2 linked regions of the Drosophila melanogaster genome follow. The gene in region 1 interacts genetically with each later gene. Each region holds a gene or a part of one and is shown on either strand. Other genes may lie near its edges.

Region 1 (4,747 bases):
TTGTGCTCGTTTCGAATTTTTTTGGACTGAATCGTAAACACTTCGTGGAATTAATTATCTTTAGTTCTAAAGCCTCGTGAGTTTATTTCGAAACAAGGTCTCATATATGTTCTGCATACTTTCCGGGCGTTCTGTACTTTAGGAAATTCGTTACTACGATAGTATGAAGCCGAGTCACTAGTTCAGATAGAACCAAATGGAGTGAGAAAGCTATGCGAGCTAAGAAAGCTTGCTGGTACATGCTGTGATTCTGTGGAGGACTGAAAACATTTCTCTTATGGTGTCTTAAGGTATGCAACACAAAATTGCATTCACATTTATATCTAGGGTTTATATTGGTTTTTCATGTAACAATTTTATTTGCATTGAGTTACAATGTCATGTGAGTTGGGATTCCCATTTCAGCCCCGACGGCGCTGCTGGCGCTGGCGCTCCCTCCTCTCACGGCGTCTCTCCTGGCGTCTCTGACGACGTCGGTAGCGACGACGCCTCTCCTTGCGGTTCCGCTTGGATGACGAAGAGCTACTGCTGGAGCCGGAGGATGAGGAGTCGCTCGGGGAGGTGGACGTGGTGGGCGATGTGGAGGGCGAGGTTGTGGAAGGAGACGGATTAGTCGAGGATGAGCCAGTTGAGGTGCTGGGGCTGCCAGAGGTGGTTGATCCCGTACTTCCGGTGCTGCCAGTGGCCGTACTTCCGGTGCTGCCTGTACCCGTGCTTCCGGTGCTGCCAGTGCCCGTGCTACCGGTGCCCGTGCTCCCGGTGCTGCCAGTGCCCGTGCTACCGGTGCCCGTGCTCCCGGTGCTACCGGTGCCCGTGCTCCCGGTGCCCGTGCTCCCGGTCCCCGTAGTATCGGTGCCCGTGCTGCCGGTGCCTGTGGTATCGCCACCAGCATAAGCGGTCGCCAAGATGGCAATAAGACCAAAGGCCAGGACGAATTGGAATCGCATCTTTAGCTCCGTCCGTTGAACACTGTACTCAAGTACTGTACTTTCTCTGCATTTAATTAGGGTATTTATACGCATCACCCACGATTTTTTTGGTTCATTTTCAGACTGTGTGTTTGCTCCGAATCATCATCATTTGCCGCACGTGGCTTAGTAGGATATTCTTGAGACAATTTGGCCGATGACTATCGAAAATACATTTGTTTGAACAAGTCAACAATGGGGGAATTGTGGATTTGTTAGATCTAGTTTATTCTAAGCAAGTGTGCAAACACAGGCAGCTCGGGTATTGTTTTGAGTTCTACTGAATAGCTATTCAGCCATTCTAGCAGTGCTTTAGCACTCGGCCTTATTTAAATAACCGCAAAACAGATGCGTGTTTGGTTCATAGAGATTTTGAAGGATGTATAAAAATAATATAAGATAGCAATGCCTTGAACGCAGTGGAGTTCGAGTTTTACTAAGGTTCAAGAGATAGGCTTATGGCGGGATTTTGACTCTTTAATGGAAGAGGTTCGTGTGATTAAAGCTGAATTAATAATTACTGAACTACCATAAACAGTTCTAAGGAATCTATACAATCTTTCAAAATGATTTCGAAATCCAATTTCGAATCGAAGCGAAACGAAACGGTCACACTGCTTAACAGTCGCGCCGCGAGACGTTGCCACCCGGCTAATAAAATACCAACGTTGCCGCTCAGTGGTATTCCCGCCTCGGCCGTGCACTGGCCACACCAGCCACCGCCTTCGCTTCGCCGCCCGCCATCCAAATTCGATTCGTTGGTGTTTTTCGCTGCGCTGGTGTTCGTGTGTTCGCGTTGGCGCTGTCATCATCATATCGTATCGCATCGCTCCGCTCCGAAAACCGTGGCAATTGTCTGTTTTTTTACCTGCCAGCGAGTGCGTTTCAGTTGCCCGCCAACCGGCAGGAATCGCAAATTCACGTGCGCCACTCTCCAATTGGACGAGTGCCTTTAAAACAGTGCAACAAGTGGTTTTTACAATTCTTACCAGCATTCAGTTCAAAGTGCCTAACAAACACACGCACACACATACGTAACCTACCTGACCAGCGCGCATATGTGTGTGCATGAGTGTGAGTGATACAACAACAATACAATAGCAGCAACACAGCTACGAAAATAACTAACTGCTTTCGTCGCAGTTTTTCTGCAAGTGTATGGGTTAATTGCGCCGAAAAATGTTAATTAATTGAAGCCCAATTGGAAATCGCCAGTGGCAAGAAAAGCTGAAACTAAGATCTGAACGCAGATCTGGTGAGAAATCCCAAACGCGAGGATCTGTATCGCGTGTGTGTCAATCGGTTTAAATATAGATCAGATCACAAGTGCACTTAAACAAACAGAAGGGAACGAAACAAACAAGTGATTAACCGACAGGTAATTACAGCTGCTCTTCTTTTGCATATTTTGCGCGTTTTCTCTGCCAGATATTATTCGCTTCTCCTTTATTGTTTTACCTTTCTTTCGCTTCTAATAAGACTCTTCTTTTTATCGGTGTGGCTGGAGTTTCTTGTTTTGCCACCCATACAATCGCACAAATACCTGTACAGCACATACACTCACACGCGCACAGTTATTGGCTGATTGGAATGTGTGTGCTTTGTTGTTGCCGTTCTCAATACATATTTGTTGTCAACGGTTTCTGCTTATCAATTGGAAAGCACGAACACAGCTACACCTGCACTTCTTATTGGCTTGGGCAGCCCTCCTGTTGGATAACAATAATGAGTGGCAAATTCTGTTCGGCCTGGCGAAAAATAGTAATATGCACTCCTGGGAGGGAGCTGGCGCTTTTCATTTTCCATTTCCGCTGCACATTTGTACCTTTCTTTCTGTGTCAATCACCTGTTCTGCAGCGCTGACACTTTTCACATGCCAATCGGCGGCAAAAATCAGAGGCAGCAACAAACAAATTAAAACGTGTTATATATACCCTTAGTCCCGTCGAGGTGCCAACTTTTGATCGCCAACTTTTGATTCCCACCGAATTCCATTCGAAAAGTCCAACCAAATCCCATTGTGCTCAGAGTCTTATTTGCACTAATCCCATGCAAATTCCAATTGGCGCGTTCCCATACAGACCAACATCGCTAGATAGAAAATCGTCTGGCGATCTTACGGTAATTTGATTTTGTAGATTAGCTCTTGCTTTTAAATGAAAGATATATAGAGCAGATATATTATGATTATTTACTTTCGATTCGATGCTAAGTAGTAATTGTGGCTTAGCGAGTTTTCACTGTTTTCAGTCACCGAATCTGGCGGTTTCGAAATTCTCAGCTGGCAACACTGATGCCAATTCGCCGTGACGTGGACTCCTTCTTTCGCCGCACAGTCAGCTGGCTGAATTCGCCGGTGTTTATGTTGTGGGCGCAGGAAGCAGGAAACTGCCAGTTGATTTCAAACTTTCAAGCGGCGCGCAAGGACATGCCGCAAGAGTACGGAAGTCGCAGCTCCTAGGAACGGTAGCAACTCCTTCGTACGTGTTTTACTCGCTTGAGTCTGTGCTCCTCAATTATTCACGAAGCAAAACAAAGTTTATGGCTCTGCAACTGCCCGCCGTTGCCTCGAATATTTTCAACTAGTGCAAGGCGAGCTACAAAAACAATGCAATGGCATGGGACAAGTGTCGAGATAGCGAGTGAGACGCACATAGCGTGCAGGAAAGAGAGAGCGACAGTGGCAAAGTGCAAATGTATTAAATAAATAACGAAACGAAGCTGTACAGAGAGAAAAAAATCATGTTGATTATGAACCATCGTAGAGTAAAGTAAAAGTGGGCATGCGAAAGATTTTGAGTAGGGTAAACCCTTGTTTCTCTCAGTGTCATCTAATATGTGCCTGCGGTTTGGCTACTTTCTGCCCTGTCTTTTGCTTTTGGCCGGCTTTCTTGGCGCATTGCATAAGTGTTGGCCATTTCACCTCACTAACGCTCTCCCCTTCCTCCTCCTTCTACCCGCAGATAAGCAGCCAACGTGACGTACTCGGGCGGATTAATAATTGAGCAGATAGCGGATAGCAGAGAGCAGCTAGCAGATATCAGATAGCGAATAGCGGACACAGCAGGCCCAGCAATGGAGTCCATGGAGTACGAGATGGCACGCAACATGACGTTGCTCTTCTTCCTGGAGCGACTGCTGGACAAGGGCGAGCCCCGCACCGTCCACGACCTGTCCTGCCAATTCGGCAACAAGGAGTTCACCAAGGAGATGCGCCAAATCGCCGGTGGCAGTCAGTCGGGTAAGTTCGCACTAACTAAGCCAGCACTTAGTAACTACACTTCGCAACAAGCAAATCCATATAGCCAAAATGCAACTGAAATAAAAATGAAGAGGCCTGCTATATTGATTGAATTGAAAACAGCTCTCTTTAATCAAAAAACTGGATCGAATAAAGTCAAGGAAAGTGCGCTGAAAATGCCGTGGCATTCAATTCATGCTCTCATTTGAAATGTCGCCAGCCGAGCCTGGGAAATTGGAAACGTGTGCGGTGGAAAGCGGTAGTGTACAGTGGACATTGGACACTGAACGGTGGACACTCTTGTTCGGCTGCGGTACATACATATACAATACATATTTGTGCACCTGCGGGTTTGCGTTGTTCGTCACAGTCACAGTCGATGATTGTGTTGTTCATGTTGCCTTCGAGTGGTCGGCGTCCAAGTGCACATGTCATTGCCGTTTCCATTTCCATTTCCAATTGCAGTTTGCCGATTGCCAGTTGCCGCAGGGGAGTCAGTCAGTCAGGCCTCCTCATTTTCCATCTCCCGGCTGATCTC
Region 2 (4,030 bases), about 14 Mb from region 1:
TCCGCCGGCGGACACTTTCGCCTAACCAAGCCAATCCAACCCATCCCAATCCAATCCAACCCACCCGATCGCCATAAAGGGTATTTACTGTCGCTGCCGCAGAGCCTCGCTTGACGACTTAACCCAAGCGGTCGTTTCGCGTCCATTCTCCGGACGGAGTCAAAGACAAAGGCCGGCGGAGGTGGACAATAGGCAAGGTTGTTGCTTGTGGGTAGGGTTTGAGCTATGAGCTATGAGCTGTGAGCTGTTAGCCCTGAACCCCGAACCTCGAGAATTGAACCTTTCCCGGGGCAAGAAGGCTTGCATGTGGGCCTTTTCCAGGTCGGCCAGTAGGTAGAGTTGTTGCGATGCGGCTATGCCGGGCGAGTTAATGCCAATGCAAATTGCGGGCGCAATATAACCCAATAATTTGAAGTAACTGGCAGGAGCGAGGTATCCTTCCTGGTTACCCGGTACTGCATAACAATGGAACCCGAACCGTAACTGGGACAGATCGAAAAGCTGGCCTGGTTTCTCGCTGTGTGTGCCGTGTTAATCCGTTTGCCATCAGCGAGATTATTAGTCAATTGCAGTTGCAGCGTTTCGCTTTCGTCCTCGTTTCACTTTCGAGTTAGACTTTATTGCAGCATCTTGAACAATCGTCGCAGTTTGGTAACACGCTGTGCCATACTTTCATTTAGACGGAATCGAGGGACCCTGGACTATAATCGCACAACGAGACCGGGTTGCGAAGTCAGGGCATTCCGCCGATCTAGCCATCGCCATCTTCTGCGGGCGTTTGTTTGTTTGTTTGCTGGGATTAGCCAAGGGCTTGACTTGGAATCCAATCCCGATCCCTAGCCCGATCCCAATCCCAATCCCAATCCCTTGTCCTTTTCATTAGAAAGTCATAAAAACACATAATAATGATGTCGAAGGGATTAGGGGCGCGCAGGTCCAGGCAACGCAATTAACGGACTAGCGAACTGGGTTATTTTTTTGCGCCGACTTAGCCCTGATCCGCGAGCTTAACCCGTTTTGAGCCGGGCAGCAGGTAGTTGTGGGTGGACCCCACGATTTTTTTGGCCAAACCTCCAAGCTAACTTGCGCAAGTGGCAAGTGGCCGGTTTGCTGGCCCAAAAGAGGAGGCACTATCCCGGTCCTGGTACAGTTGGTACGCTGGGAATGATTATATCATCATAATAAATGTTTTGCCCAACGAAACCGAAAACTTTTCAAATTAAGTCCCGGCAACTGGGTTCCCATTTTCCATTTTCCATGTTCTGCGGGCAGGGGCGGCCATTATCTCGCTACAGCAGTTCCCAAATGGTTATGGCTGGACACCCCTGCCGCCGCTCCAACGGGGTGGATGAAGCCCCCAAAACCCGAAAGTCATGGCAGCCATGGCAGTGTGGGGCTGTTAAACGTGCGGCATAATATTAAGACTTCATAAAAGCGCAAATAATTCGCTGGCAGGCGATCGATAATACATACATACAAATATATAGTGGGATACACACACTCTCTGCCGGCAAACACACACCACCCGACCCGACTGAGCGGCATAATGCCATATCATTCTTGATGAAGCCGATAAAATCCCATTATTAAGGGGGCCCGCCCGTCCCGCTCGCTCCTGCGGAGCAACCGCCTGCGGGCGGGCGAGACAAAAGATTCGCTCATCCGCTATGAATACCAAATCGGAACTCTCTCTCTCTCCAGCTCGGGAGTGCCATGGCCAGCATGGCCAGGACCTCCTCATGGTCCTGCCGAGCAGAGAACGCGGCTCCATCCCGCTGCTCCGGGTCCTGCTCCTCCGCTTTGTCCCGCCTCGTTATCGCCGCTCAGCACCGAGAGCACAGCAGCGCATCCACTCTCAGCACCGCACGATTAGCACCGTTCCGCTCAGGCTGTCCCGCTCGCACCTGCCTGGGTCGCTGCGATTGGCCGCTCCCAGCGACGGCGGCCATTTGCCTGCAGAGCGCAGCGGTATAAAAGGGCGCGGGGTGGCTGAGAGCAGCACACTCGAGCTGTGACCGCCGCACAGTCAACAACTAACTGCCTTCGTTAATATCCTCTGAATAAGCCAACTTTGAATCACAAGACGCATACCAAACATGCACGGATACCGAACCTACAACATGGAGAGCCACCATGCCCATCACGACGCCAGTCCCGTGGACCAGAAGCCCCTGGTTGTGGACCTCTTGGCCACCCAGTACGGCAAGCCCCAGACACCGCCTCCCTCGCCAAATGGTAAGTTTAAAGATAAAGCCGAGCAAACGTGACGAGTTACTTACACCCAATCTTTCCTCTGTCCAAAACAGAATGCCTATCCAGTCCGGATAACTCCTTGAACGGCAGCCGCGGCTCGGAGATTCCCGCCGACCCGTCGGTACGCCGCTATCGCACCGCCTTCACCCGTGACCAGCTGGGTCGCTTGGAGAAGGAGTTCTACAAGGAGAACTACGTGTCCCGTCCCCGTCGCTGCGAACTGGCCGCCCAGCTGAACCTCCCGGAGAGCACGATCAAGGTGTGGTTCCAGAACCGCCGCATGAAGGACAAGCGTCAGAGGATCGCCGTCGCCTGGCCCTACGCAGCCGTCTACTCCGATCCCGCCTTCGCCGCCTCCATCCTCCAGGCCGCCGCCAACAGCGTGGGCATGCCCTATCCGCCCTACGCCCCCGCTGCTGCCGCCGCTGCTGCCGCCGCCGCTGCCGTGGCCACCAATCCGATGATGGCCACCGGAATGCCCCCGATGGGCATGCCCCAGATGCCCACAATGCAGATGCCCGGACACTCGGGACATGCCGGCCATCCATCGCCCTACGGACAGTACCGCTACACGCCCTACCACATCCCCGCCCGCCCGGCGCCGCCACATCCCGCTGGTCCTCATATGCATCATCCGCACATGATGGGATCCAGCGCAACGGGATCGTCGTACTCCGCCGGTGCCGCCGGCCTTTTGGGCGCTCTGCCCTCCGCCACCTGCTATACCGGACTGGGTGTGGGTGTGCCCAAGACCCAGACGCCGCCGCTGGATCTGCAGTCGTCGTCATCGCCGCACTCCTCCACGCTGTCGCTCTCGCCAGTGGGATCCGATCACGCCAAGGTGTTCGACCGCAGTCCAGTGGCTCAATCCGCTCCATCAGTTCCTGCTCCCGCTCCACTGACCACCACCAGCCCGCTGCCCGCTCCAGGCCTCCTGATGCCCAGTGCCAAGCGGCCTGCCTCCGACATGTCGCCGCCGCCGACGACAACTGTGATTGCGGAGCCCAAGCCGAAGCTCTTCAAGCCCTACAAGACTGAGGCGTAAGCCCGCGATCCACACACACTCTCTCCCCCCCCCCCATGCTCCCCCAAAAGATTGTACAAACTAGTCTTAGTCAGCCTCATCTATTTATTCCCGAAGATTGTACAGATTGTAGAGTAGCTAATTGTAGTCATAATTAAGGCGCAAAATCAAATTAAGAAATAAATGCGAAAATAACATTGAAAATTATACGACACACACTGTTTATTTGAACTACCTGGTACCTGGTATTATCTACATATATATCAACATATATTCATATACCTGAGCTGAATCGCTTTTATGGACCTGGCTCTCTGGATTAGCTGTGGAGAAACCTGGCGGGACAGCTGCGCTGCTGACTGCTGACCTTCCCAGGGAAACTGTGGCAAATCGAACGGAAGAGCGGCAGAGCGGCAGAGCCGCAGAGCGTGCCGAGTGTCCTTCGGAGTGGCCACCCACAATCAGGAGTAAGGGTTCCCGATGCGGCACCGGCGGGGAAGGGAACAACATCCACGGGGGATTGGCACAAGCCAATGGCTTATTAATGCGATCCGAACGGATCCAAGCGGGAGGGCCCATTGCAAATGCAGAGCCACCCCGCTGGGCGGCGACCTTGGCGAGGAGTTGGGCCCACTCCCTGCCACGCGTCAGGTTGCATTGCCAATGGAATCAATTTCGGTGTCCTCGGATTGCATTGGGCTCGGCTAATTAATTGTCACCTCACCCGTTGAGTGACTTTTTTGTTTGTTGGTC

What was found. A genetic interaction does not mean that the proteins touch.
Region 2: of egl (region 1) and eve, changing one enhances a phenotype caused by changing the other (phenotypic enhancement), as found in Drosophila melanogaster (one study listed by BioGRID).

The regions. Positions count from the first base shown.
Region 1 is NT_033778.4:23,743,799-23,748,545, reverse strand, and holds the start of egl (egalitarian), read left to right. Parts: upstream 1-1,716; 5' UTR 1,717-2,346; intron 2,347-3,361; exon of another isoform or gene 3,362-3,448; intron 3,449-3,931; 5' UTR 3,932-4,043; coding exon 4,044-4,209; intron 4,210-4,747. Other genes in the region: CG13560 (uncharacterized protein), read right to left, coding at 402-947.
Region 2 is NT_033778.4:9,977,319-9,981,348, forward strand, and holds eve (even skipped), read left to right. Parts: upstream 1-2,000; 5' UTR 2,001-2,096; coding exon 2,097-2,235; exon of another isoform or gene 2,236-2,266; intron 2,267-2,306; coding exon 2,307-3,298; 3' UTR 3,299-3,477; downstream 3,478-4,030. UniProt on the Drosophila melanogaster protein: May play a role in determining neuronal identity. May be directly involved in specifying identity of individual neurons.